Linked DNA regions of Lonchura striata. The protein of the gene in region 1 interacts with the protein of each later gene in a biochemical or structural test. Links are inferred from orthologs where the notes say so. Each region holds a gene or a part of one and is shown in the gene's direction. Other genes may lie near its edges. The genes, in order: UBE2N, RNF168, TRIM63 and PRKN.

Region 1 (7,095 bases):
ACATTTTTAGAGGTTCCAGGCCTTGGTCAGAAGCATTCTAGACCCTGGCAGACAGCTGAAAAACAACTGTGATTTTGAGTTTGAGCCATGGAATGAATTACCAACTTTGGAGGTGGAACAAGCAATCACAAAAGGTTAGATAGTATAGTATAAGTAGTTACGAAGTAGAGGGGAAATTTTTTTAGTATTGTACAGGGGGGTTTTAGCACATGTACAGGGGGGTTTTCACTTTGTACATGGGGGTCAGAAGTTCTAAGATGGAGGAAAGTGGGCTGATCCCATCCTTCTTCCTTCTTCTTCCTTACCTCCATGTTCTTGGTGATGTTGGCACTCACAGATTGGTTTAGAGTAGAAAAACACTTGGCAACGTAGGTAGTAGGTATTGGGGAATAATTGTAAACATGTTATACGTAATATATCTTATAAAAGATAGCAGCAACCCTGGGCGGAGGGAGAGACGAAGAAGACAGCAGATAGAGAGGATGTCAGGGTGTGTGTGTGCCTCTACCCAGGCCACTGATCAAATAGCTGCAGTCCAAGAACATAATCTGTTAGATAACTAGCAATAAACTGCCTTGAGACCGAACAGCTAAGCCTGCGGAGTTTTTCTTTGGAAGCACGGGTTGGAGGAGGAATTTCACCACCACATGTGGCCCCAAAACAAGGCTGGGGTTCCCACAGGATCCCATTTTGATGTTCTAAGTTGGTAAAACATATAACTAGTGGTGTTTTTTTCTTCTCTCAGTACAGTTTCACCCAGTCCTACCAGTTTAGATAATTCTGAAATTGTCCAATGACACTTTAAATTACTGCTGAATGAAAAACACTGCACTTCTGTGGCTTAGTTTCCTCCTTTGTACATAGGCATCATAGCAACTCTTGTGGAATTACTCTGGGATTTACTGAACATTTTTAATATAAAATTTTGATATTACTGTGAATATTCATTCCGTATGTGTACATACATACATCTGATTTTTGCTGTAGAACAGATTTTCTACAATATTTGGCAAAAATATAGAAATGCTTTTATGCAAAAATAAAGAATCTGGCATTTGAAAGAGAGTTGTAATTACAGTAAAACTTCTATAAGATTGCAAAGAGGGCTAGGAGGAGGAAATAAGATTAGTCAGCCACAGGCTCAGCTGGCCTGGATGCACCCACTCAGTGAGTAAGTCTGGTAATTTGATGACAGCAGAAGCTGTGACAGGAAGATGGTCAGCAGCTGTATTGAATTGTTCTGGGTGTATTAATTAATTGCCTAATTGCAATTACTTCTTTACCTTCCCTGCCTATAGTAGCATTATAGAACACTTTGTTGGTGAATAAGGTGGTTGCCTAACTTTGTTCTTGGAACCACTGTAATTCCGGCAATGATGTGATAATCACAGATTTGTGGGAGGAGGATTGTGTTGTCCATCCTGGCTTTTGTAGTGGTGCAGTGGGATAAGATCAGCTCAGCCAACAGAACAGGTCACTGCTGCGGGAGGGGATGGTCCTACACCTGCACCTTCTCACTCGGTTTCCAGCTGCTTCTCTTGTGCCAGCTCTGATGCCTCAGTGAGCTGGTCAGAAGGGTAACTTAGCAAAAAAAAAAACCCAAAAACCCAACAACAACCCCCTATACTCCAGTAGATACATAGCAATGACAAGACTGGATCAGGAATGTAGAGCAGGGAAAGGGAGCTGGACCTCAGTGCTTCCTGCAGCTTCTCCTAAAAGCTGAGGGGCATCTAAAGCTAAATTAATTACTCATGGATACTACAGCATACAACTTCACTCCCACTTCTATTACCTTTTGTTGTCTGGGGCTTGCCAAACCCCAGTGTAAGACAAACCAATTCACCAGTCCAGCAAAAGACTACACTGAATGGCTGTTTTTCTGCCAAGTTAGTATTGCATCAGCTCAACAGAATGAACAGTGGGGAAAATGCTATGTGTAAGGAAGGAAGGTAGAAGGAGTGAGGTAGGAAAGGGAAGAAAGAAGTCCTGTTTTTAAGAGGTTGACTCAGCTGCTTGGTCTACCTTAACCTCAAGTATGTGCTTCCACACTATCCCTAGTGCAGGGGACTATTGAAAGTCCTTTTCTCACACCCTCAGGCATGGGTTCCAATCTTGTTTATGCTTCACCTGTAGAGCTGTGTGGCTGCCTGTGGTTCACAGCAGCTCACTGCTCACCCAGGAACCACTTGTGCTTTTGATCAGCTTGTCTTAGGTGAGAGATCATGGTGTGAGCTCAGGGAACAGCAGTGTGTGGCAGAGGAGGAGGGCAGCAGCAAAGCAACTAAAAAGTGGTGTGCCCTTGACATGAAACTATACAGTCAATAACCCGCACTGTGGAGGCAGGCCTTGGTGGAGTTGGGCTGTAGGAATGAATGCCCATTTGAATGGGGACTACAGGTCCCCAGTCTACAGTTGGTATTCTGGAGTAGCCAGTTTGGGTGGCTTTTCTAGCCCAATATGGATACTCGGATCTCTGCAGCAGTCCTTCTAGGAGCTAAAATAGCTTAGGGGAACAATCTAAATTTTTGTAGATATGACAACAGAAATCAATGTATTTGTTCACTGCCATCTCCTGATCAAGTGGACTTCAAAAGCCCTTTCATAAAAGAAGCCAGAAGGAGATGTATAATGAAAACTTCCAGGATGTGACAAACCACTTGTGCAACAAAAGCTGTCAAAACATAATAAGCCAGATTGACTTAACTGCAACTTCAGCTGACTTAACTTCTTGCTTCAGCTGTAACTTCCAGCTGAAGCAAGATTCCTGGTCTACAACACTTGAAAGGAGACACTGAATTCAACACCAATGAGCATTTATTTGAGCCAACTGTGTTCCACTCAGTTGTTGTGTCTTACAGACTTTCAAGAAACTTTTGGCCCATGCTTTCTTCCATGTATGCCAGTCCTTTAATGGAATATTCTGGGAGAAGTGTAAAAGAGAAAAAAAAAAAAAGGGGTGAAGGCAGAAACAAAGAAAGAGAAGTAATTCAGTATGCACTGTAACAAAATACATCATTTTCCAATAACTTTTGTCTTGAGGGTATGGACCAATGAAGATGCTTTGAAATCTAAATAAGTGTTGGAGTCATGGAGTCTTTCGCCTAGATTTGCAATTGCCAGAGAACTTTACTTTCTACCAGAGTACACAGAAATTATGTCCTGTTTTAAACCGGAAGAAAACACTTGATAGGGACTCATATGTACATAGGGTTCTATTCTTTGCTGTGCTGCTGACCTGCTGAGCAACCTATGGGAAATTAGTTCATCTTTCTGTGCTTTTACTTCCCATAAATAATGACATACATTCTTAGATGTTACTATTACTATACATCCGTAGTAATGTCCTAGTATGCTCGTGCAATAATTATACTGCAATGTTTACAATATTCCTCTTTCTGCTGAAAAAGAACAAAGGTTTGCTAACTAGGTGTTATTAAGACAAAGATCACAGAACTGTTAGGGAAGATCCTATTTCCACCTTCCCTGCCCAGGCAGGGTCACCAGGAGCAAGTGATACAGCAACATGTCCAGGTGGGTTTTGAGTATCTCCAGAGAGGGAGATTCCACAACCCCTCCGGACAGCATCTTCCAGTGCTTTGTCACCCTCAACATAAAGTTCTTCCTCATGTTGAGATAGAACTTCTTGTGTTTTAGTTTATGGCCATTGCTCTTTGTCCTGCTGCTGGGCACCACTGAAAAGTCTGGCACTATTCTCTTGATACCCACCGCTGAAATATTTTTATGTATTGATGAGATTCCTTCTCAGTCTTTTCTTCTCTAGACTAAACAGGCCCAGCTCCCTCAGACTCTCCTCGTTAAGAGAGATGTGCCAAACCTCTCATCACCTTTGTGGCCCTTTGCTAGACTCTGCCAGTAGTTCCTTGTGTTTTAGGCACTGATGTTCTAAGGTAGCTTTGAGACAGGTTTAGGAACACTCACAGAAGCTAAAAGTCAGGGACGAACAGACGCTTGGCGCTGACAGCGCACGGCCCCGCTGACGGCAGCTCCTCAGCGCCCATGCCGGGCGCGGACCCCACACGCCCATCCCTGTATCCTACGTTTCCCGGCGCCACGCGCGCAGGGCGGTGCCGCAGGAAGCGCGGCGCGGGTCTTTCCGGCCGTGCGCGCGCCCCGAGCGGAGGCGCGCCCCGAGCCTGCACCGACGAGACAAGATGGCCGGGCTGCCCCGCAGGATCATCAAGGTACGGCCGCGCGCCCTGCCCGCCGCGCGCCGCTCCGCCATGCCGGCCGGGCGCGCCGACCGCGCCGGGCCGGGGTCCGCGGCCGAGCGCAGCGCCGCGCCGGGCGCCGCTTCCGGTGCCCGGGAGCTGGGCCGCGCTAGGGCAGGGCCGCCTCCCCGGCCTCCTCCCGCCCCTGCCGGGCGAGGGGCTCCTCGCTGCCGTCCCGCCCGCGCCCCCGCCGCTTCCCGCCGCCGCCGCGGGACTCCCCTCGCGCCGTGTCGGCGCGCGCGGGCGGCGGGAGCGGCCGGGCCCTCCCGGCGGGCGCGGGCCCGCGCCCTTCGCGGGGATTGCTCGGGCGGCGGCGGCGCCCCACGGCCCCCGCTGCTGCCGAGCGCTGCTGTCTGCACAGCCTTCGGGGTCCGGAGCTCGAAGGACACCGGGCACATCCCCCGCTGTCTTCCGCCGACCCAGCGGCTCCTCACTGGGGGCTTCCGCCAGGCCCCGGCTTCCCGGCACAGCTCTAGGCGTGCTTGGCCCGGGGGAGGGCGGCGGTGGCGCCGTGCTCGGCTTCCTAGTGTGCGGTGAGGGACGAGCCACAGCGAGCAGTTAAACCTGGCCACAGCTGTGTGTGCGTCGGGACATTGGCACCAGTGGTCCACGCTGGGACAGCCCGGTTACTGCTACGTTTGCTCGGAGCTGTCGGCCCTTACTCTATCAACGTGTCGTGCTGGTGCTTCGGTATCATGTTTCGACTGTGATTTGCCAAGCTTTGCAAGGGCTCTTAACTTTGGGGTATTTTCAGCAGATCCTCCGAATTCGGTTCCAGCATAAGATTTGAGTAATTTGGAGACACTTATTGGTAGCTGTATTGCAAGCTATCAAACAGCTCGGTCCTGTAGCTCACGTGGTTGCTCCTGCTGTGCTGCTGTCTCCTACTCGATTTGTAATGGTGTGAATTGAAGCCCCTGAATGGATGATCATTCTCTTTATAAAAGTTATTAAGTGATTCCATTAAGGTTGGTTAGCCCTCACAGGAAATGACAGCATCCTCATAGCCTGTTACAGTGAATGGATGTTAGTTTTTAATACTCTGAAGCTCTCTCAGTTGGTAAACACTGTAAATAAATTAATTTATAAAGTTTTAAATAGTGGACAAAAAAATACATTATTTTTGTCCAAGAAGTCAAGTTATCAAGTAGGTGATAGAGATGATGAGGTAAAATAAGGCAGTAGTGTTTGTCTTCTGTGAAATGGAGCTAAACTACAATTAGTGCTCAGAATTGTAAGTAAGTAGTAAAAATAAAGAAGACAAATCTTACTGATTTTGATGCCTATCCAGCTGTCTGAGTGCACACCATGCTAATCTGAAGTATTTCAGGTGTGATAGGGAACAGTGATTCATAATACAGTGGAACTGGTATTTATCACAGAGTTGCAGTAAGAGCTCAGTCATGAGGCTGGTGTCTGCATTAAATTTTCATTGCTTTTGACAGATCCCCAGAATACAACCAAGAAGTGCACTCACTTATGTTGGTGCATAAATTTTGTTCCTGGTACTTTTGTTTTCTTCATGCTTTTCTAGAAAAAAACGCTAGCGCAATTTACACAACTCACTTCAAAGATATGTGGTGATGTGGGACTGTTTGTTTTCCTCCTGGAGAAGAAAGGTGGAGAGCAAAAGAGAGTCTTAGAAACTCCAGATTTTCTGTGAAGGAGCCCCCTTAGACATATGATGGGTTGGGTGTTTGCATGTGTGCATTGGAAAGTTGTCTGCAGCCAGTCTAGAGTTATTAAATCTTGGCTTGGTTGTGTTAGATGATCAGCTCTTCAGCTGCTGTGCTGTGCGTGCCTTAGGTTGCCACATGTGAGTATGATCTAGGACTTGAGTCTGACTAGTTACTAGAGCCTCAAAAATGTGCAAAGTCATATCTTGAAATACCACAGCTGCAGAGGTGTGGACCCAGAAATACTCCTGCTTAAATCTTTGGGAGTCTTGAGTGAGAATTGTTTTGATCTTTTCTATCATGCCAATTTTGACTTTAGTGTTTAATTTCCTATTCTGGATGCCTTAGAGGGTGGGTAGGGAGTGAACTCAGTTGCTAATGAGAATTTGAAAGATCAGGATAGGAAAGAGCTGAGTAATGTTAAAATAACTCCAGTAAATAAAATGAAATCTTCATGCTATGCACAGTAATAAATTTCACGATAAATACATGGCTTAGGTTACTTTTAGGAAAAGATCTTCTCCCTTTTTGCCACATGCACCCTTTGTGTTGTCATCCAGGAGAGACCATCAATGGCTTCTTGGGGCTAGGAGATTGTATTTGGACTGTGATAAAGTCCTGAGCCTGGCTGGCTGCTCAAAATGCAGTTGGCATTCCCTGTCTTGAGCGACTGCTGGCAGATGGCCGGGCTCTCAGGTTGACTTGCAGCCCTGTACTCCTCAGCCTGCGTCTTTGCTATGTGCAGGCTGTCATCCAGCCCAGGAGGAGAGCAGGAGTTTTCCTTGCAGTGGCAAGGACTCTGTTTATGTTTCCAATACTTCAAATTCAATGAAAAGGTGACAGTATGGGTGTTTTAAAGCAGTTGTTGCAGAAGATACAGAATTATTCCCAATTTACTGTCCTCAGATTACTTAGAAACGGATTTTAATAAAGTGTGTGTGGGAATGGTCTGTAAGTTCAAAAGGTGACTTGCTTTAGAATTATGACTGTTAGCATATCACAAATGGTGAGTAGAAGACATTGATGTAGTTTTGAATCTTAAAAGACGTAATCAGAATTGGAAAACATTGTATCTTTTGAATAGAGAAGAGGTATTTTTGTTTTCTTCAGTAGTTCAACACCAGGGATCCTATGAGAATTGTCATGACAAAAAAACTATTAATGTAAGATAAAATGTGTTACTGGCA
Region 2 (7,225 bases), on another chromosome or scaffold:
AAACCAGTAGCTGCCATTAGGGATCAGTTGTGGCTGCAGATAAGATGCAAATGATGGTGAGGAAAAGGCACAGTGTTTGAGGCAGGCAGGTAGAGCAGCATCTTTCCAAGTGGAACATATCACTGTGAGAACAAGTGATTTGTATAATTTATCCGTTGTTCTGTTAGCATCTTGGGAGCATGAAATGTTCTTTGCCTTTTAAATTTTTCTATCCTCATCAAGAGGAAACTTTGCCCCTTGCATTCTGAGACCCATGCTGGGAGTTAAGCCCAGAACAGATATTTTTCAGTAATTTCTTTCCAGTAGTTGAGGTCTGACCACATTCCTGGTTTAGCCCAGTATGAAAACTGTCACTTCTCAAAGGTTTCTGTGGTTCCAGCGGTGTCAGGGTGAAGTCTGTGTGACAGGTTTGAGCAGTTTCAGCCTGTGTTCTTGAAACCAAAGTACATCTCACAACCCATTAGAGCAAGTACATGCTGATATTTAGTATAAACTATTTTTCTGTGTTAAAGCCATGATGATCGATCCTGTTTCAGAGGAGTAAACTCTCAGTCCCTCAGCTGGCTTAATTCTGGTCCCTAAAATGCAGATACACAAGCTTGTGGCTGGAAACTTTTTATCAGAATTGTAAACGTTTATGTACAAGGAGGTACAAGGGAGCTGATTATTTTTTGTGACTTTTTAGTATTAGGTTCATTGATTGTAGCTCAGCAAGTTGTTTTTTTAGGTGAAAGTCAGTATCCCAAAACAGGATTTAATTAGTGTGCTTTTGTACAGTGAAAAGACCATCATTCTGCATTCTGCATTCTGCATTCTGCATTTAAGATACATCATTTCCCAAAGGGGAGCTTAGCTGCAGAACTCTGAAGTCCTGTGCTGCACCATGTCTTTGGACAAGTTATGAGCGCTACAAAACATATTCTGGGCTTGTCAAACCCTCGGGGAAGTCATGTCTGATGAAAATTGAAATTGAGGTTGCTGGAGTTCTTTCAGGAGTTCCAATAAAGCAGAGAAAGTGCCATGAGGACAGAAAATACTTAGTTTGCAGAAAACTCTTCAGCAGTTGATGGATTCATCAGGTTGTTGCCGTGCTGTTTGTGATGAAAACAGGAGTATTTTCTGTAAGCATCACCCAGCTCCTCTGATTTAGAGCAAATCACAGTTGTGGAAGTAGTTTTAGTGCAGCAGCAACAGCAGTAACTGAAACAGGAAAGTGACAGGAAATATATTTCAGATGTTTTAGTGTGATTTGGATTCCGGAAATGCAGAGCCAGGCTTTTTTGTGAACTAAATTTAAAGGCTCTGGTACTTCTTATTGGTGATTACTACTAAAGGAATATTTTTATTAATAACAAATTGAAGCTTAGCTTTATGAAGCAAACAGTACACCAGTGCTGCATTAGAATGACTTGGGCTTTTCAATCTGTTGGCCTTGAGAATTCTCATTGTCAATTCAGATCCTACAAAAGTCTTGAGAGCATTATTTTTAATTGGCTCAGTATAAATATGTAGTGCTTGAACTGCTGTACAAGAGACGTGGGATTCTTCACTGGGGGCTTGGAGGTGGGGTGGCATTGGAAAAGGAAGTCTAAAAGCACAACCTGCCCCATCTCAGTAGGTTAAGCATGCCCTACTCCATAGCACAAACCAGATCTACTCACTGGATATAAAAATAAATACAAATATGCCTGTTTAAAGACCACAGCCTTAACTGCTGTTTTTGCCTTTTGCTGTCCCATTTTTAAGACACATTCATGGCAGTGACTATTACAGGCCAAGTAGCAGAGACAGAAATCCAGAATGATAATGATCTCTATTCACTGCTAGGGTTTCCGTGTCCCTCCTTCTCAATAATTGATGTGCAGTACATCATGATTGCTACTGCTGGAATAAATGCAAAAGCTTTTAGAGCAGTGTTAGCATCTCTTCCATGGTCTAAAGGTGTGAGTCATTGACTGCAGAGTGTGGTGGTGGGGCTTTGGAAAGCAGGCCAGAAAGATTTGCTACATTTATTAGGGCAAGTTTAACCACACGCCTTACAGTTCTTGGAGTCACACACAACCTTTGCTCTGCTAGGAGAAGTGTGGTTGCTTATTTTACCGTTAAAGATCCGATTTGAAGTAAAACACACAAATAATTTCTTTATCCTATTGGTATTTTTTCCAGGTGATGCTGTGGAACCTGCAGAAAGTTCGTCCCTTGTGGACCACAAACCTGCAGGAGTGTGACATGGAGGAGGAGAGCCTGCAGTCAGCCGGGCAGTTCTTCAACCCGCCGCTCGCGCATTCCCTGTCCGTCGCCTCTTGCGGCAACGTCTTCGGCTGTGGAGCTCAGGACGGTAAAGTCCGAATATTCCGAGTCACAGGTGCCAGGTTTGAACGGGAGCTGGAGTTCCAGGCTCACAGCTTGGGAGTCTCACAGGTGCTCTTTATGCCTGAGGCATACCAGTTGTTGTCTGGAGGAAACGATGGGAAAGTCTTGCTCTGGGATGTCAGCAGTAATATTGGGAAGCAGCAAAAAAGTCCAGCAAAATCTCTGCACAGGAGGAAGGCCCAAGCAGCTGCTTCCAGCAGGAAAGATGGGAAGCTCAACAAAGCAGCCTCAAATGAACACCCTGGAGTTGTGCCAAAGCTCAGCATTGAACACGGAGAGAAGGTGAACTGGCTCTTGTTTGCAGAGCTCAAGGGCTCCAGGAGAGTGTTGGTTGCTGACCAGACCAGCTCAGTATCAGCCTATCCATTGCCAGAACCTTAAGGCAGCCAGGGGCTTACAGAAGTCTGGGGGATAAAACCACTTCTCAGAGCCAGTTACTTCCACTGACAGTGAACTGGACAGTGAACCCCTCTGGGTCCTTGGGAAGGGAAAGGGATTTGCTGTGCACTCATGATGTCCCTGGCCTCGTGCTGGTTCCTTGTGGCTGTTATGTTCACAGCTACTCTCTCTTGCAGGGTTGGAATTTTGCTGCTTGGATTTAAGTGAAACGGGTCTCTATATTTAGGGGTAACATTAGTTCATGGCTAAGCTGACGTAATTAAGGCTGGAGGAGAAAATTAGTGCTCAGGAGACACCCACAATGCTAAGTGAGGCTGCTGAACAGTAGCAGGGCTGTCATTGGCTCAGCCCTATGTGGTTTGGGCTGTTGCAGTGCTCTGTGCGAGTTCTCCCATGAAGCTGTGTCCCAGTTGGCTTGAACTGGTCATGGTGGGATCTGGTTTTCATCACTCTGTCAGCAGCTGCATAGACTAGATGCATCAATTAATGAGTAATCAAATGAGTTTCCCTGTGGTTGCCAACTGAGTTTTTTCACTGCAGCAAAAGAAGGAGCAGGGGAACTGTTACACCTGTTTGCTGGGTCAGCTGTCAGTTAGTTGTGTATCCCAGGGAAAAGAACTATTACACTTGGCTTAATAAATGCTTTCTCTCTCACTGTTCCCTTGTCCTTAGAATCACTCTAATAGTGCCAGACTCACACAAAATTGTGTCAAAAAGTTTATTTACCCCGATAGCAGGGTGAATATGAAGGGCCAGAGGCACAGCTTCTCCTTACCCAAATAGTTCCTGTCTTCCTAAAGCTTTGAAACACAATGAGTAGAACTTGGCTTGCTAGAAGCTTCATTTGCAAATTGAAGGTAGGAAAACCTAAGTGGAAATGTTACATCTCCAGACATGTTCAGTTCATGCTCAATTTCCCATGAAGTGAGCAAATAACTCTTTTAAAAGGGTTTTTTTTCCTGGGCTGTCCTTATCCTGTCACAGAACTGAATTCCTAGTACTGGCTGAGGACATGCTGCACTGGTGGTAGGTTTGGGTTTGTGCTGCTGTGTTTACCAACTGGGCTGTTACCAGACTCATACTATATTGGAAAAATTTCCAGTTCTATTTTTTTACATACAAAACTCTGGAAAATCATTATCTGGTTGTGCTGCCTCTGTTCACCCTTTATGGAAGAGATTCCAACTGTCTTGGTTTTGCTCAAAGCAGCTCCCTGCAACCAAACACAACTCATTCTCATCCAAATCAGATTTTACCTTTGTACCTTTTTAATTAAAACAAAAAACAAAGGCAATCTGCTTGTACAGCCTTTCCCAGCAGGAGACTTTGGCCCAAGACATGATCTGGTGGGCGCATCAGCAAATCAAAGCCAAAACACAGCAATAAAAAAAAAAAAAGGCATAAAATTGTACTTGTTCCTTTTTGTGTTACCTGTGCATGAGTTCATGTGTGAAGACATGGGATCAGTGGGGCAGAGGAAGGGGTCGGGTCGGGCTGTGTGGTTCAGTGTGTGACACATCCATGAACGTGTGTTGGTGCATCCATGACCTATATTTGGATATACAGGCTATAAAAAGCCTTGGAACAAACAACCTCCTGCAGGACTCGGATCCCCTGTCCCTGCTGTTGCTGCCGGCTACAGGAGAGAGGAGCGAGCCCGCTCCAGCTTTTATTTCTTCTCTTGGTGTTCTCCAGGAAGATGGCGAAAGCCAGCATCTCCCTGCGCTCCCTGAACGAGACGCTGAACAGGTCCTGCAGGGCTGGGGAGGGACAGGGAGGGCACGGAGGGCTGGGGCATGGGACAGCTAACACGGGACACCAGGCTAACCTGTGCTTCTCTGGAAACTGCTGTGGGCAACTGGCTGTGAACGGACAGCGGGAGGAAAGAGGGACCGAGCCATCAGCTCCACGGTGGTGTTATTCCCTCCCTGCCATCCTGGCAGTTTGGTGCAGGATTTGGGCAGTTGCTCCATCATCCCTGGCCTGCAGCTGCATGAATTGTCACCAGGCAATGAGGGTACTTGGTCTGTTCAGCATGGAGGACACTGAGGGGAGACCTCGTTGAGGTTTACAACTTCTTCATGAGGGGGAAGGAGGGACAGACACTGATCTCTGTGGTGCCCAGTGACAGGACCTGAGGGAATGGCCTTAAGTTGCATAAGGGGAGGTTTTTGTTGGATATTAGAAAAACATTCTTCTCCCAGAGGGTGGTCAGGCACTGAAGAGGCTTCTCAGGGAATGTCACAGCACCAAAGCTCCCAGAGCTTAAGAAGCATTCAGACAATGCTCTCACAGGGTGGGATTGCTGGGGGGTACAGGAGTGCAGGGCCAGGAGTTGGATCCTTGTGAATCCAACTCAGGATATTCTGTGGTTCTGTGAAATTCAGGCTTGCTGTTCTAATTAGAGATTTCAGGTGAACTTCTGATTTTCAGATCATGCCTCAGAGTCTGGAGAGTGGTTATCATGAGCAAAAAAGAACCCCAAGAATGGACCTTTCTTAAAAGTTTTAGGAAAGCAAATCACCATCACTGGGGAATCAGGTCATAGGTGATGCTGATTCACCCTCCATTTCCAAAGCCTGCACTTGGCAGAGGAATGTGACCAACAGGTTCATAGACTTCCTGAAAAATAATCTGGCCTCAGCTGCCCCCGCTGGCACCAGTTCCTGCTCGGCTGTGCAGCAGCAGGCACCAGTGGTGGTGGCTCAGGGCAGATACAAAGATACGAGCATGGATCTTCAGGAAAAACAGTCAAAAAAGGGTCAGAAATTCTCAGCAGTTAGAGGTAGGAAGGATACTGTCCCCACACTCTGGATTTTCACGTTCCTGAAAGGGAGGTGAGGCCCTGGCACAGGCTGCCCAGAGAAGCTGTAGCTTCCCTGGATCCCTGGAAATGCCCAAGGCCAGGTTGGATGGGGTTTGGAGCAACCTGGGATAGTGGAAGGTGTCCCTGCCCATGGCAGGGGGTGGAATGAGTTGGGCTTTAAGGTCCTTCCACTCAACCATTCTGGGATTCTAGGATATTTTACATTTAAAGGCAAACTATGCAGTGTTGAGACTTTTAAAAGTCAAATCAGGTGTCATACATACACCTGTGGTTTACCTGCAGTGAAAAGGATCCCTGTTGAGAGTATCACAGCTGATGGGATGCAGTACTTCTGCTTAGGAAATGAGTGATTATGTGTTGACAGACAGACAGCTGACAGACTTGGAAAGAAACTGCTCTTGTCGAGGTACTGCTCCTAACTGTTAGTTCATCCACAGCCTTTATAACTCTGATTCACATGATGGTGAACACAAAAGTAGCTATTGGAGACCGGACCAGAAGGAGAAACAGTGAAACAACTCCTAAAAGAAAAAAGTGAAAATTAATTCTGTGGGAATCTACTTGAAGAAGTGTGTGTCTAATGTACCATGGAGTGAGTGAATGGGGAAGGCTTGGAGAAGTGTGGGATGCTGCACTGGCCTGGAAAATCAAACCCATGTGACAGCTCTAAAATATCATTTTCTGTAAATGCCTGAATAGCAGAAATAAGGTCTCACAAAGAACCACACTTCCAGAGAAGTGGGAATGCTGGAGCTTCTACTGTATGGCTTCCAAATATGTTCTGTGTGCTAACAAGAGAGGAATTTTAAAAGCTTTCTGGTAAAGAATGGGGATGTGGTTTGTCTGTACACTAGTCAGAGTTAGAGGTCGCTGACTTAGTGGTAACTTCACTTACACTAAAGGAAAAAGTGTTCAGAGGTCATGATGGAAATGAAAATGGGAGGTTTAATCCATTCTTCCTCTTTTCATTCCAAACTTAGATCAAGAGGCAGCAGCACTCAGTCTATCAGAATTCAGTTACAGCTGTGGGAGATCAGTTATGGATCTACCATGGTATAACTGAACAGACATTTTTAGATCCAAAATTGGCAAATGCTTAAATGTTTATTGCAGGTGCTTGAAAACACAGAAGATTAATTTACAGAAAGGCAGTAAAAAATGTTTGAGAGATAAAACTGGTCAAATAGTAAAGCATTGGACTGAAGCCTGCTGAGAAACCACTGCTGCACTGAGAGTAGCATTAGTGATGAGATCTTAGATAACTTTACTCCTACTTGTAGAGGAGGAAGTTGGAGAATGGGCCGTGTGGAAGCTTATTTACCTTGACAAAAAGCTGCAAACCAACAATTCACCGGCAAGAACACTCATTATCTGACAAACCAGCTCTGGAAGTCATTCACAGCAAAGCCCAACTCACCTCACCTCAGTTTCTGCACTTCCTCTCTCAGTGCTGACAGATTCGATCCAATTATGACACATCAATCCTTCGGGTTTTTCTGAACTCCCTACATTTCTACATGACACCAGCTTAGTTTCCAATTAAAAGTTCAATTTTCATCCCAAAATTCTTGCTGAAGCAAGAGGAGTCCTGCCACAGTAAGATGAGCTCCACCAGGCTGCAGAGGA
Region 3 (7,579 bases), on another chromosome or scaffold:
GGCGGCTGCGGGAGCAAACGTTTCTGTTATCATCCAGTTGTTTGACTCAAGGAGAGGAAGCTTCAGTCGCTCCCCGTTTATCTTTTTGAGGTGACTGATTTTTCGCCAAGCCTCCCCAGCACGAGGAATCTACATCTATGGAAGGTTAAAAAGGATAACTGATTGCAGGAGTTTGCACCCAACGTCTAGCTTTCACTTTTGCTCAACAGAGCAAGGACAAAAGTTAAGTTATTGCTCTGAAAGTAAAACAAGAGAGACACACACACACACAAAAAAAAAGAAGGGGAAAAAAAAAAAAAAAGCCACCAAACCCTGCTGCAGATTTATGACCCTCCCTACACGCTGCCCTACAAGATTACAAACCAAACACCAGCACCACCTTCATGCAACCAAACCAAAATGGGACACTGACTAGAGACAGCAATAAATTAAAATAAAAAAATAAGAGCTTGACTAGCCAAGGATCACTGGTCAAACAGAATGAAACGCAAAACCAAAAGTAAATAAATAAATAAAATCACACTGATAGAGCAGAACTACAATAGCTCTAAGACAGCCAGTGATAAAGGTAATTCTCTTTATGTCAGGCAATAAGGACCACATGTTATTAGTAGGAAGATTTCAAGTATTTCCACTGCTTTAGGTAATTTTTTTTTTTAGAAAAAAAAGGAAAAAAAAGAAAAAGAGAGAGAAAAAAGGTATCATCAGTCTCAGGTAATGCTACAGAGATATTTTAACCTTTCAGCAAAGCTGTGCGAGGGACATTTGCAGCAAGGATTTGAACCAAGCTGTGCCGTGTGTGAGAACAGGGGTGCAGCTCCACATTAGGGCTGGGACTGAGATGCAATGGGCCAACAAGGGCAGGAGCTTTAATTTAATCTCAATTTCCCAGTGGCCAAACAGCCCCGGGGGAACGCGGCTGCCCCGGGGGCGGCCGGGCGGACACCGGGCCCAGGCAGCGAATAACGAATAATATAAACACTCGATTAGAGAATAACACAAACATAAAGGTACCGCAGGTGATATATATACACCCCTCCTGCTCGGCGCGGCCGCACCTGCGGCCCTGAAGGGAAAGCGCCGCCTCAGAGCGGGCGATGCTGCCGGCCCGCCGCTGTGGGCATGGCCCCACTCCCCCCGCCCGACCTGCAGCCGGATCCCACCCGCTACAAGCACCACCACAAAGGGAAAGGGGAGGCGGTGGGGCCGAGCCGAGCCGAGGCGAGCAGGGCCGAACCGGGCCGGGAGAAGCCGCGTTACCTCAGCGCCGCCGCCGCCGCCGCCCGGCCGCCATCTTAGGGCTGCGCTCCGCCCGCCGCCCTCAGCGCGGCCACGCCCCCGCGCGGCCACGCCCACACAGCACCGCGCCCGCTCATTGGCCACGCCTCGCCGTGACCACGCCCATGTAATACCACGCCCGCTCATTGGCCACGCCCCGCCATGACCACGCCCATGCAATACCACGCCCGCTCATTGGTCGCGCCCCACAGTGACCACGCCCACATAATATCACGCCCATTCCTCGGCCACGCCCACTCCCCGGCCATGACGCGAGCGCCGTGGGCGCTTAATGAGATTAATTAATTAATTAATCAATCAATGAATGACTTAAATTTCTGTTCGTTAATTAGGAATGAATTCCTGGCTGTGAAGGCGGACAGGCCCTGGCACAGCGTGCCCAGAGCAGCCTGGGACAGTGGGAGGTGTCCCCGCGGTGGCAATGAGATAAAGTAAAAATTTAACAAGAAAGAAATCTGGATTTAAGTAAAATGTGTTTTTTAGTCTAGTAACTACAGCACTAGCAAAACTACCTTAACTAAAAAAAAAAAAAATACAGATTTCCACACTAAAAAGATAAGAGACAAGAAAAACTCCTCAAACCTTAAAACAAACAAAACAGAGTGACCCAAGAATTCTTTCTGACAAAAACTAAATACAAGTGTAACTAACTGTAAGTATAACGCAAAATAAATAAAATAAATATACATAAACCTATTATAAGATTCTATGCATATAGAAGTTAGAGTAATAAAAAAAGATCAGGAGTTCTCAGGGGTGCACATGTCCATTAAAGAACAATGAGTCCCCACATGCATCCACAACACTGTGAATAAACACACCGTTCCCCACAAATCTTTATTATAATTGTGGGGTTTTAATCTTTCTCCGCGTTTCAGCATTGGATGGGACTTAAGCTCCTTCCAAAACAAACAATTCTGGGACTCTACAATTTATTGCTTGGCGTCCAGAAAAAAATGAGTAAAGCGCCCCTGTGGCCCTTGGGCGTGCCCTGGCTTGGTGTGACAGTGGCACAAGAGCTGTCGCCCCTCGCTGTTCCCTGTTCTGTGCCGTGGGTCCCTTTCCCCCTCAGGCTGCAGGGCTGGAAGTGCCCCCCATGCCCCGGGGCTGGGGGCGCAGGGCTCCCCCACCGTGGCAAAGCCACCACAGGGACATTTTGGGAGAAGCCAGGGCCACCGACTGCTCAGAGCCCTGCGAAGCCCCGGCAGAGGGAGATTCCTCCCTCAGTGGGCTCTCCGGGGTTAATTGGGAAGGATCCCGGGGGTGATTAGTGCCCGGCTCCTGCCTAAGCTGTCCCAAGCCAATTAGGGGCCAACGAGCCTCTTGTGGGTTCGGAAAGCTGCTTAGGGCATTACAGCCCCTCCGCTCCTGGGAGTCCCCTTCAGCGAGTCCAGCAGCGATTCATGAACCAATGCCATCAGGATAGGGTGCGACCCCCGCGCTGCCCTCCCGGGTGCCCACCAGCCCCGCCGTGCTGCCGGCGCCTCGCTGGCACAGCCCCGAGCGCCGCCCCGGGAACGATCCTGCCCCGTGTGCCCCGCGGCTCCCGGCGCGGCCACCCGCTCCACGCGTGAGCCGGGGCGGAGGGAGCCCAAAACACCCGCGTGGGGAGAGGAGGGGGTCCGTGCCCCCGGCACCGTGTGCTGTGCACCGCGTGTGACACATCCAGGGAGCTGGGCACCCATTTATTCATGTACCTGGTCATCCATTTATACATGTACCTGGGCATCCATTTATCCATGTGCCTCTTCATCCATTTATCCATGTACCTGTGCATCCATTTATCCATGTACCTGTGCATCCATTTATTAATATACCTGTGCATCCATTTATCCATGTACCTGTGCATCCACTTATCCATGTACCTGGTCACCCATTTGTACATGTACCTGGTCATCCATTTATCCATGTACCTGGGTACCCATTTATCCATGTACCTGTGCATCCATTTATCCATGTACCTGGGTACCCATTTATCGATGTACCTGTGCACCCATTTATCCATGTACCTGTGCATCCATTTATCCATGTACCTGGTCACCCATTTATCCATGTACCTGTGCATCCATTTATACATGTACCTGGTCACCCATTTATCCATGTACCTGTGCATCCATTTATACATGTACCTGGTCATCCATTTATACATGTACCTGGTCATCCATTTATACATGTACCTGTGCATCCATTTATCCATGTACCTGGGCATCCATTTATTAATATACCTGTGCATCCATTTATCCATGTACCTGTGCATCCACTTATCCATGTACCTGTGCATCCATTTATCCATGTACCTGTGCATCCACTTATCCATGTACCTGTGCATCCCTGCTCACCTGTGTGCTCACAGACACCTGCACCCCATACCTGCGCACCCAGGTGTCCCCCCACACCCCGTACCCGTGCACCCAGGTGCCCCCTGCACCCCATACCTGTGCAGGTACCCCCTGTACCCCGTACCTGTGCACCCAGGTGCCCCCCCACCCCGGTACCATCTCCTGCCCGCAGTCGCTGTGGGCACCGCCGCTGCCACCCCGTCCCCCCGTGGTGACCCCTGTGCCAGCCGCGCTGGCAGCTCTCCCCGCGGCCAGCGCTGGCCCCTGGCCAGCCCGGCGGGGATCGTGGCCGGGGCTGCTTCCAGCCAGGGCTGTGCTCACCCTCTGCCCCCCCAGCCGTTTCTGGGTCAGCGCTTGAACCCCAGCAGCGGAGCCAGCTGGGTCATGGCTGTGCCAGGGCCGTGCCAGGGCCGTGCCAGGGCAGCCTGAGCAGCCCCCTCTGGGTCTGGGCTCCCGGAGGAGCCCCCCAGCCCGTGCCTGGGGAGGGCACACCCCGCTGCGTGTGCCAGCCATGGGGGCTGCGTCCCTCCAGCGCACGGGGGGAGGCGTTTGCCCCCCAGATTTGCTCCTGTTTTGGGTGGGGAAAGGGACAAACTGTACGAGCCAGCCCTGCTGCGGATTTCTGGAACCGTCGCAATGTCCTCATGACCGCGGGGCTGGCGCTTGCTGCTCCGGGGTCTCGGGACGCGCAGCCGCTTGTTTACCCCGCGGCTCCCGCTCGGGCACGTCCGCGGCACGGGTGGGCAGCGCCTCCTGGACAGCCTGTGCCCATCTTGTTTACCGGCCCTTGCGGTGGCTCAGCACCGTGTGACAGCTGCTGTCCCCTGTCCCGGGACACCCGACACCGAGCCGCGACCGGCAAACGCGTGACGAGGCGGCGGCTTATAAATAGCGGGGCGAGGGGCGCCGGCGGCGAGAGCGCCGGGAGCAGAGCCCTGAGGAGCCCATGGATTTCCAAGGCGGTATCCTGCAGGATGGCAGCCCCATGGAGAGCCTGGAGAAGCAGCTCATCTGCCCCATCTGCCTGGAGATGTTCAGCAAGCCCGTGGTCATCCTGCCCTGCCAGCACAACCTGTGCCGCAAGTGCGCCAACGACGTCTTCCAGGTGAGCGGGGCCCCCGCGCCCGGCCCGGGGGGCACCGGGGTGTTGTGGGGGTACTGATGGACCCCCCGGGCTCATCTTCCCCTCCCAGGCTGCCAACCCGTACTGGCAGAGCCGCGGCAGTCTGATTTCGGGGGGCCGGTTCCGGTGCCCCTCGTGCCGCCACGAGGTGCTGCTGGACCGCCACGGCGTCTACGGGCTGCAGAGGAACCTGCTGGTGGAGAACATCATCGACATCTACAAGCAGGAGTGCTCCAGGTGGGCAGCGCGGCCATGGGCTTACGGGGACGTGGGGACACGGGGATGCCCCAGCCGTGCCCCGGCAGCAGCGCTGAGACCCCCAGAGATCGCACCTGGGGGTCTTCCTGCTCAGCCATCCCCGGTTCAGAGCTTTTCCTGACTCAAATCGCCATCAAAACCTCCCTCCCGTGACTCAAAACTTCCTCCTGCACCCAAAACTTCCTCCCCCAGCCCCATTCTCCCCTCTGCCCCAGCAGTTTGTGCCTCTGGCTGTCCCAGGGGGGTGGCAGGTCCCTGGGGGTGGTGCCAGCCGGGCACGTCCTCTGCCCCTCTTGCTGGAACATTGGCTGGCAGATAAGAGGTGTGGGGAAGGAATCCGGGCTCTGCTGCTGACAGCGGGCACCGGGGCTGATAAGGGGCAGAGGGACGGTTTGGGGGGGGCCCAGTGGGTACAAGGATGAAGCTGGGGGGGACAGAGGGGTCACGGGCTCTCGAGGCAGAGCGGTGGCCCCAGCCAGGTTCCCTGAACCGCTGTAAATATTGTGTGAGAGCCATGGGGACGGGGACGATGGCACGTGGCAGGTGTCCGTGGCTGCTGGGGGGGCCGGGGGGCCAGGCCTGTCCCTGTTTCAGGCTGCTGGCTTGTCCCCACGTCCCTCCCTGCTGTGGATGGGAGGACTGAGCTGCAGCCCCCGTCTGGGACCCCCGGCGGTTTCTGGGTGTCCCCACCCCGGTCACACGATGGGTGACAATAAATCCGGGCAGCACAGGGCTAAAATTAGGCCCTGGTGCAGCTCCTCTGGCTCGCAGCCCCCCCCGTCCCCGGTGCCACCCGCTGCCATGCCCAGCGCCACGGTGGCCTAAACTGGGACCTGCTGGGGTTTGCAGAGGTTGGTGGCTCCCAGAGGAGCAGCTGTGGGGTTGTGCCAGGGTCTGGCGTCTCTCCGATTTCGGGGTGACAGGTGGATGTGTCACCACGGTGGGGGTGATGCTGCAGTGGGGACACCGGGGTGGCGGGGGCCATCAGCCTGGTGCGGGTGTCACCGCGACGGCGATGTCACCGCGGCCGTGCCACCCTCTCCAGCAGGCCGCTGAAGAAGGGGGAGCACCCCATGTGCAAGGAGCACGAGGACGAGCGGATCAACATCTACTGCGTCACCTGCGAGGTCCCCACCTGCTCCATGTGCAAAGTCTTCGGTGCCCACAAGGACTGCGAGGTGGCCCCTCTGCAAAGCGTCTTCCAGGGACAGAAGGTGCCCTGGGGGGGGACCCGGGGGGGCTGCGGGCCATCTGCTGAGCTGGGACAGTGACAAATAACTCCGGGACTGCCTCACGGGGTATTAATAGCCCCCGGGTGACTTCGCCCAGGAGACAGACTATATTTAGAGTGGCTGCTGAGGGATGAGGGGGAGCAGGGCTGGGGACGAGCAATGGCCAGCCCGTCCCCAGGCTGGGATGGGAGAAGTTCCTGCCTCCACAGGAGTTAGAACTCCTTCTCTCTGTCGCTCACCAGACTGAGCTGAACAACTGCATCTCCATGCTGGTGGCGGGGAACGACCGGATCCAGACCATCATCTCCCAGCTGGAGGACTCCTGCCAGAGCACCGAGGTGAGGAAAGGGGGAGAGGCGTCGCTGTCGAGGCAGGACGGGAATGAGAAGACTGATCAGAAGGCTGCTGAGAGTAAAACTCGGATTTATTCAAAATACCCCGCTCTTTTATACAGAGCTTCGCAAGGATCAAATCCATTGGTTCTGAAGTGAAAACAAGCCACGCTATTGGTGTACAGTGCTTGACGCACAGTGATAGAACTTATCTATAAACAATGTGAAAAACAAGAGAGATAAAGAATTATTTACATTCTTTCCCAGCTCTTTCCCAGGCTTCTGCCTGGCTAGAAACTCTCAGTGTCTTTCTTTGACTGAATCTGAGACCCACAGAAAGGAGCCCCCCAAAACCTGACAGTGAAACCTCAGCCGGGCATGGGCGGCAGTGGGGTGGAGCCCGTGGAGCAGGGAAGCCCTGGGGTGTTGCAGGCGCTGGGGGGACGCAGAGGTGGCATCCCTTGTCCCCTGTCCCCGCAGGAGAACAGCGAGGCGGCCAAGCGGGAGCTCTGCGCTCGCTTCGACGCGCTGGCAGCGCTGCTGCAGGAGAAGAAGGCGGAGCTGCTGCAGCGCATCTCCCAGGAGCAGGCGGACAAGACCGCCTTCATCCAGAGCCTCATCTGCCAGTACAAGGAGCAGCTGGAGAAGTCCAGCCGGCTGGTGGAGACCGCCATCCAGGCAGCCGAGGAGACCGGGGGGGCCGCCTTCCTCATGGTGAGACCCCCAAACCTGCCCCGTGGCGTCCCACTGCTGGGGACGACCTGGTGGTTGCTGCTGCTTCACTCACCTCCTCCTCCTCCTCCTTCTTCTCCTCCCCCTTCTCTCCCTCCACAGAACGCCAAGCAGCTGATAAAAACGTAAGTGCTCAAACTGGGGGAATCTCCACGCTCCAGCCCCCACGGGCAGGATTTGGGGAGTGGGCGCTGCCCTGCCCCGCTGCCCCACGGTCCCCGCGGGGGGACAGGGACACGCACACACCGCTGCTCTCCCTGCCCA
Region 4 (7,972 bases), on another chromosome or scaffold:
GCTAGAACTTGGTATCATACTGGTTTTAAATTAATTAAGACTGCAATATTTCCAAGAGGGTACATTCTCACACAAACAGTTTATGCAGACACTCTCCTGCTTCCCTTTGCAGCTGTTACAGCTGATCCAACTTACTCTATATTTACAAGAAAAAACAATATCAGTGCAAAAGGAGAGATGAAAGCATGCAGTCAGGACAGGGAGAAGGGCAAAACAGATGAACCTCGTTAAAGGAGAAGCCTTGCTTGCCTCAATCCCACAGACAGCAGTTCAACACTGTGAGCTTTAAAAGGTTGGAGTTTTTTCAGCACGAACAGTTCCCTGAGCAGCCAACATTGTACAAATGAGGACACAACAACAGGCAGCAGTACTAAACAGCCTGAGAGAGGAAGAAGATAGGACTGCCTTCCAGAGCACTGACAGTTTAAATTGTCTTGCAGTGCTCACTGAAGTGTACTCCTAGATTGTACACAACTGCTATTGTTAAACTGGAGAAGTTCCTCCAAGACAGATGTGCTACTTCTCAATATACCTCTATCAAAATACTCCTTTAACTTGACATCTATTTGCCCCAAAACACACTGATTCTTCCAATAAATTAGCTGTTATAATCAAAAGATACAACTTTCTTGTATTCTTTCCTATAGCCTCAAAATCAAATTAGAAACTTTGACTGCTACAAAGTAAATAACAAAATCAGTCTTGATTATGCAGTGGATAGATGAATATAAATATAATGACAAATCACAAATTTCGGAACATAAACAAATCACATCATGGTTAAAATTAAACTTTTTCTAGGAGTTATTTTCTAATGGTAAAGCGTAAGAAAGCTCTTCACAACACATTACTGAAAATGGCTTGAGAGAAGTGCTTAAAGTACAAAGATTGAGAACTCATTCCCACACATAGAGACTGCAGATTCCTAAATGTAGAACAGAAGAATGAAAATCCAGAGCTGCAATACAAATAACCATTTTTCTGCTTAAGAGCAATTACACTTTTTTAGGCGATGAAAGCTGTGCCCTATACAGAGCTAAGACTCTAAGGCTGAATAGCTGCTTTGGTTTTAGAAATACAGAAACGAAAATTTTTAGCATCCCTTCCTTTCTAAGATCATCTAGTAAATATTCTCATTCTATCCCTGTGGCCTGTTCCTGAAGGCAATTTCTGACTGATGTCATGGAACACATGAATGTAATAGTAATCTTATAAGAGTTGGGAGATAGATAAGAATTATCATTCTACTGTTTCCTTTAAGTACTAAAATGAATCCTGTCCTTGAAAAAGTGCTTTTACCACCAGCGCATTACAGAAAAGTGGGACACTAACACTTCATTCTCTTCTCTACAGTTGCAGAAAACAGGAAAATGTCATCTAGAAAGGATCAGAAATGAATTGAGATATATTCCTGCTGCTCACATTCATGTTCAGACACTTCTATATCGGCTAGTCTCTACATTAATTTTTAATTGTGTTCCTAGTTCTATATGCAGTACCTCTGAAGTAAGAGCACATAACATTCTTGATTTCACCGGAGGACAAAACAATAAAAATGTAAATGTTTCTTGTTATTATAGAAGACCTTTATTGAACCTTGCTTTTAATCTAAACTGATATATAAATTTACAGTTTTGGAGTAACTTAAACACTTTATTCAGTTCAGGAACATTTTTAGGTGAATATTTAAGCATTGTATTTCACTAAGCAAGTTTTTGATTTAGCAAGAGCTGAGAAAAGTCTTAAATACTGTATCTACTTAATTTCTGCACTTACTACTAACTACAAAAGCAGACTTTATTCAGGAACATTCAAGAAAAACAGCTTAGTAAAACACTCTTTGCCCAAGCAATGTAAAAGAATTCCGGAACATTTAGTATAATATTTACAGTCATATATGCATAAAGGTAATCTACGCTAAGAGTTTAAGACTAACTACATGCTTGCACTAAAGGCTATTAATCAATACCTCATTATTTGACCTGGAGATGCCAAACACGTTTAACCCTATGCCTTATCATGCTGTTAACAAAAAGAATTACCATGTCGTAACTAGATATTCCTGCTGTGCTTTCAACCCTTCAGTTAACTCCCAAGCCTTCCATGAGAACTTCATCAAAGATGTCAACCTCTGACAAGTGAGTACTTAATAAATCTAAAGCTCCATTCAAAAAGTAGTTGGAAAAGTAAAAAGAAACTCCCACTTCAGCATAGAGAGCGTGGCTATGAGATATTCCTTTTTTTGCACACTGGAAGTTATTCTGGTGGCTGCCTGACCACAGATGGAGCTCTTGCAAAACATAGCCCTGGCACTATGAATCTCCCAAGACCACTAAGAATTTCAGAGCTTCCAACCCAGTTATGAGTAGAACATGTGCAGCAGGTCATAATACTGTAAACCCGAGCTCTGACAGGCTGGGAGGGCAAGCGAGGGGACAGATGAGCAGGGCAGAAATGAAACAGGCTGCTCAGAGAGGTCAGGCAATCCCTGATGTCACAGTTTAGCTAGGAAAACCCTCACTGACCTGATCTGGATACTGGTGACAGGCCCACTTCAAGTAGAAAGTTGGCTTAGATGATTTCCAGATGTCCATGCCAAAGAAAATAATTTCTGTTATTCTGTGAGTAGCTGCAAAGGCAGCAGATTTACTTGTAGGCAGTTCCTTAACAACAGTATCACATGATTTAATGGTCTGTTCATGTTTAGGAAGTCATAAAGGCAGCCATAAAAATTAATACTCTATAAATATTTAAAAGGAAACCTGAATTCTGATTAAACTCATAGTTAGTTATGTTCACAAGTCACAGCTCCTTTTTATAAATTAAATATGTGCTTCTCAAACTCAACTGAAACTGCTGATTCTTCTAGACAAAATAGTCTTTTACATATCTAGGTGTAAACAACCACATGCAAATATCCATTACTTGAATTTTCTCTGGAGAACAGGAAACATATTTTAAAAATTAATCCTAAAGGTTGCTGAAGTATTATAGTTCATTCCATGCATCTCTACAATAAAAATAAACAAACCAAACAATCTTTAAAACAAAGAGATTATTTGGCTGTATTCACCTTGTGTTTTTCCAAGTAAGGTGAAATATGTTGCAGTTTTACTAAATAGGAGAAAGTTTTTCAGGTATACAACTTTTACTCTATTTAAAATTTCTTTAAAGACATACTTGTTTGGCTTTTTAAGAGGATGTTCTTGCTAACTTCTTCTTGATAACATAACATCTTGATAACAAGATCAGAGAGACTGCTCCAGGAAGACCACTTCAGCAAAACAAAGGGAAATAATGTATTTCATAACAGCTGTCAGAACACTCTATAGATTTAAAAAAACCCTTGAGGACTCAAGCCTTTGCTAACACCTTGAACTGTGTCCAAATGAAGAATACAATTCAGGAGCTTAGGCAGAGATGTATGGTAATATTACCTCATCCACTCACATGTTGAATATTTGTACTCTGTACTAGTTAAAGCTTTTAACTCCTAAATTCTGATAAAGGTAGATAAATAAAACAGTATAAAGAGATTTGAAGGGCCTTTATACTACTATTTTAACTCCCAAGCCTCCAAGTTCATTAGAAATTGTGACTGCTACTTGTTGGATCAATTTCTCTGTCTTTGAACTACAAGTTGGAGAACTAATGTTTGTTTGTTTAGTATTCTCCTAGATGGTGTAGAAGTTATTTTCCAAGCTTATTTAAAAAAATCTATTAATCTATTTTCCAGATCTATGTGACATTCATATCAGTTTTATATACCATGCCAGTGTATGAAAACTTTTGAGAAATACTGCACTACTGGACAGCATTTTGCTAAGTGGGAGGCAGGAAGCTTCACGCACAATTCCATAGGCTGGCAGTTTAACAGGATGTGCACTGCCAATACAAAACCATAGAAAAAAAAAAAAAAAAGAAGTAACACCAAAATAAAGCACTTGGTGAAAGTATCGCAACTTGCAGCAATACTCCTGCAAAGTCCGAGGGTAATTTCAGCAACCAGCAAACTCCAGATAAAGTATTAGAAACTTGCACACCTTCCTGCCACGCTATATCCACAGCTCTAACTTGCTATGCTTCTTGGACAAGTTCAGTTAATTAGTATCACCACTATGCTTGCAGCAAACATACCACGCTGTTTTTCATCATGGCTCTAATACTGAAACCCTCGCAGGCCTGCTGCTTGTCCTGCTGCTTGTCCTTCTTCTCCTGCTGCTGGGGCCGCCTGTCACCGGCCAATTTTGAGGGGCCCGGGCGCCCCTCCTCCATTACAATCTCCCCACCGGCGCCCACGGCGGACCAGATGCAAGTTACGGACTGGAAAAAACAAGCGACCATCAGCGTCCCGTGTCCAGCGAGTTAGAGCAGGCATTAGGTCCAGCTTCTCTCCCTCCGCAACCAGCGGCAGCCTCACACACCCGTCCCGCGCCTTCCCTACTCCTCACAGACCCCTTTTGCCTGCCCCTCTTCCCCAGTCCCCTTCTGCATCATCCCCGCTCGTCCCCCGCACCCCGCCGTGTCCAGCCCTTCGCCACCTGATGTCCTTGTCCCCCGGGGGTCTCGCCCCCGCCCTCCCGCCCGCCGCGGTGTCCCCGCCGGCTCCGGCCCTGCCGAGCTCCGTCGGCACCTGCCACCACGCGACCGTTGCCAGGCAACGCGTCAACAACCCTGAGGGAAGCGGGAGGGGAATCACAAATAGCCCCGTCGGCACCGCCCGGTCCCGGACAGCTGTACCTACCCCCGGTGCACCGCACACCGGGGCGGCGGACAGCAATTAACGAGAAAGTCATTAGCGGTGTGTGGCGGAAACGTGAGGCGATAACGTGAGAAGAGCGTGTGCGGGTGTGAGCTGCCCAGGAACTACGCTACCCAGAGAGCCCAGCGCGTGCCTCCACCTCCGCCACCGAGGCGCATGCGCGTTCAGGGCCGGCCCAACACGCCCGCAGCGGCGCGACCCCCCCAGGGCGGCGAAAGGGGCAGCGCGGAGCGGTGGGTGCGGCCGGCACGTGCGCGCACGCCTCGCCCCTCTCCGCGCGCGGGGCCGCCGCCGCCGCCATGATCGGTGAGTGAGCGCGTCAGGGAGCGGGGCGCGCCCGGATGCGGTTCCGCCCTTTCCTCCCCGCCCCTTCCCTTCCGCCCTCCTCGCCGGCGCTGCCGCGGCCGCTGCTGTTGGCGCCGCTGCTCTTGTTGCCTCTGCTGTCGCTTCTGCGGCCCTGGGAGCGGCGGGGGCTGTCCCGGCCCCCTTCGCTTCCCCTCGGTCCCCGCGCGCCTCGCCCGGTGTCTCGGCAGGGCGGGGCAGCTCGCACTCGCGGCGGGGCGGGCTGGGGCCGCCCGCGCTCCTGGCCCGCTGCTTAAACCGCGGCGGGGCAAAGCCCTCCTCTGTTACCCCCGGGGGAGGGGGGGAAAGGTCTGGCCAGTTCTTGTGACTGAGCTCATTTTTAGAGCTCTTTTATTCCTTTTCGGTATATCGATTGTAAGTGCTTCTCGGCAAGGTTTGTGCGATCTGCGAACGTTTTTTGGCCTTGCCAGCATATATACTTGTTATTAATCCGGCGTGGTACCTGGTGGCGACCTGGAAAAGAAGAAACTTTCAACACCTCACGGTGTTGGGAGTGTGACCCTTTGGACCTTGAGTTGATTTCTGTACCCATCCAATGCTGGTGTGAAGCGTGACTTGGTTGTTTCAGCAGTGGGTTTTCTTCACTTCCTTGAAAGATTAATCCATACCTGGGAAAGTTCGAAATTGCAGGATCTGTTTTGTAGCGTTCCTATTTATTATGCATTTCATCTTTGATTTTCTCAGTTTTGAGAATTATTTAAAGTAAAACCTATAAAAGGTAGTGGATTGCACACACGCATTTTAGCAACTCCTTGCTGTTCTCAGGCTTGCTGTTTCGTCAGCATTGGTGTCATGGTTGCTGTCTACTTAAGATCTGATCAAATTGAAAACTCCGCATTTTGTTGTGAAAATGTTTATTGTTTTTAAATGGAACGTCTCAGAAGTTTCCAAGAATGCTTTGGGTCTTCTTAGCAGTGAAAATATGATTGCATGTGTATAGCTAATGTTCTTTCACCTTTGCTAAAACTAAAAAGAATGTTGTCCAGTATTTTCACTCTGTATACATATTAATGCAAATGATCCCTTCCTAATTGTGGAATTTTTCTTACTGGACTTTGTCATTTGAGCTACTTTTTTCTTATGTAGTAGAGAACATTTTAAATTGAAGGCTTGCCTTAAGGAAAGCACAGAGGGTCAGGTATCCCAGTGTTTTTATTTTGCAATGTTATCTGCTGATCTGATGTATCGCTGTAGTATATAAAATACATGTGTTTGCAGAACTGCAGTGTGTGTTTGTTTTTTCAATGCTTCAGAAAAGTAAGTTGAGTGTACCTAAGGGACTGCCCATGTGGTTACAGAGCTGATGCCTCTAGCTTCACACTGAAATCTAAATATTTACTTACTGCTCATGAATATAAATGTTCTGTGACTGAGGAATGATAATTTTATTTTCACTGTGGCAGATGGAAACGTTTGTGAATATTGATTATGAAATGTACAGACCAATTAGTTGCATATTTAAAAACACAGCTTTACATGAGTTGCAACCTGCCCTGGTTTAACCCCAGCTGGCAACTAAGAAGCACACAGCCACTGGCTCATCCCCTCCTCCCCTGCCTTGCAGGGTGTGGAGGAGAATTTCAGGTAAAATAAGAACAGTTTAATAATTGAATCAGAGTAATAAAAATACTGATAATGCTAATGATTATGATAATAGTAATGAAAAAGAGAGAGAAGAAGAAAACTGGAGGAAAAAGGGATGCAGAATAAAATTGTACGCTGGCCACTGACCAATGCCCAGCCCATCCTCAGACCAGCTCCCACCAATTTATCTCTTGGTGTGGAATGTCCCTGTGGCTAGTTTGAGTCAGCTGTCTCCTGGCCACACTCTCCCAGTTTCTTATGCACCTCCTCACTGACAGAGCATGGAAAACTGAAAAGTCCTTGATTCAGGCTAAGCACTATTTAGCAACAACTGAAACACCAGTGTGTTACCAACATTATTCTCAAACTAAATTCAAGATGCATCATGTTACCAGCTTCTAAGTCAAATTAACTCTATCCCAGCCTCCCCACACCCCAAAAACCATGTCACCCTCCCCCACTCACCCCCAAAAAAAGAATTATCTTCAAAGTATGTGATGTGGAGACCTGGTCCAGTATCCTGCTTTGAGACTTTCTGAAAACTCCTCTAAACATTTGGAAGCTGGGAATGCCATAGCAAAAATTGGGGGTAGGAATGCAAGGGTGAGAAAATAATCTGCCCATTTTTTTAACTTGAGTATTTAAAAGAATTTTCCTATAAAATACATAGTATATTTTTCAAAATGTTTCACAGTTTCATATCTCTAGAAATGTCTTACATCCTCATAATTTGATACCATAATATACACATGATAATTCCTTTAACTGATTTTTTATTTTCTATCTTTCTTTTTTCTCTTCATATCTCACAGACCAGGTCATGTAGACTTATGCACATTCAGGTTCCCTAAAGTGTAATTTGAATCCGGACTGAGCTAGTTAAGTGACATAGCTTGCATTACCTCTACTTAGGGGCTTGGTAGGTCTGGGGAGTTTTTTTGAGGTGGGGTTTTAAAGCTTGTTCTTTATTTTATTTATTTGCTTACCATTGGATCAGCTAAAACCTGTTGTTAGTGGAATGGAAGTGGCAATCTGCAGTTGGATTGGCTGATCTATTTCTTAGTCAACAGCCCTGGCAATAATGTCACATTCTTGAACACCTGTTCTGGGGGGAAAAATAAAAAAATAAAACTGATTTTGAAGGAAGATGCTGGGACAGCTTTGTGAAATTTTTTCAGAAAATCTCTCTCAAAGAGCAAAAATGCCAGGAGAAGGCCCTAAACTGTTTTAAAAATGTAGAAGGTCGACTCTATATAGTTAACA

The links.
Region 2: the proteins of UBE2N (region 1) and RNF168 form a complex in vitro, tested with the Homo sapiens proteins (2 studies listed by BioGRID). The link is inferred for Lonchura striata from reciprocal best matches to the Homo sapiens genes UBE2N and RNF168.
Region 3: the proteins of UBE2N (region 1) and TRIM63 form a complex in vitro, tested with the Homo sapiens proteins (2 studies listed by BioGRID). The link is inferred for Lonchura striata from reciprocal best matches to the Homo sapiens genes UBE2N and TRIM63.
Region 4: the proteins of UBE2N (region 1) and PRKN form a complex in vitro, tested with the Homo sapiens proteins (6 studies listed by BioGRID). The link is inferred for Lonchura striata from reciprocal best matches to the Homo sapiens genes UBE2N and PRKN.

What each region holds. Positions count from the first base shown.
Region 1 is NC_134607.1:53,630,277-53,637,371, reverse strand, and holds the start of UBE2N (ubiquitin-conjugating enzyme E2 N), read left to right. Parts: upstream 1-4,078; 5' UTR 4,079-4,175; coding exon 4,176-4,205; intron 4,206-7,095. UniProt on the Homo sapiens protein: The UBE2V1-UBE2N and UBE2V2-UBE2N heterodimers catalyze the synthesis of non-canonical 'Lys-63'-linked polyubiquitin chains. This type of polyubiquitination does not lead to protein degradation by the proteasome.
Region 2 is NC_134612.1:5,260,405-5,267,629, reverse strand, and holds the start of RNF168 (E3 ubiquitin-protein ligase RNF168), read left to right. Parts: upstream 1-4,206; 5' UTR 4,207-4,521; intron 4,522-7,225. Other genes in the region: WDR53 (WD repeat-containing protein 53), read left to right, coding at 2,167-2,754. UniProt on the Homo sapiens protein: E3 ubiquitin-protein ligase required for accumulation of repair proteins to sites of DNA damage. Acts with UBE2N/UBC13 to amplify the RNF8-dependent histone ubiquitination.
Region 3 is NC_134628.1:396,870-404,448, forward strand, and holds the start of TRIM63 (E3 ubiquitin-protein ligase TRIM63), read left to right. Parts: upstream 1-4,565; 5' UTR 4,566-4,584; coding exon 4,585-4,743; intron 4,744-4,831; coding exon 4,832-4,998; intron 4,999-6,064; coding exon 6,065-6,233; intron 6,234-6,493; coding exon 6,494-6,589; intron 6,590-7,063; coding exon 7,064-7,297; intron 7,298-7,417; coding exon 7,418-7,440; intron 7,441-7,579. UniProt on the Homo sapiens protein: E3 ubiquitin ligase. Mediates the ubiquitination and subsequent proteasomal degradation of CKM, GMEB1 and HIBADH.
Region 4 is NC_134605.1:36,999,488-37,007,459, reverse strand, and holds the start of PRKN (E3 ubiquitin-protein ligase parkin), read left to right. Parts: upstream 1-4,963; 5' UTR 4,964-5,061; coding exon 5,062-5,068; intron 5,069-7,972. Other genes in the region: PACRG (parkin coregulated gene protein), read right to left, coding at 4,138-4,344. UniProt on the Homo sapiens protein: Functions within a multiprotein E3 ubiquitin ligase complex, catalyzing the covalent attachment of ubiquitin moieties onto substrate proteins. Substrates include SYT11 and VDAC1.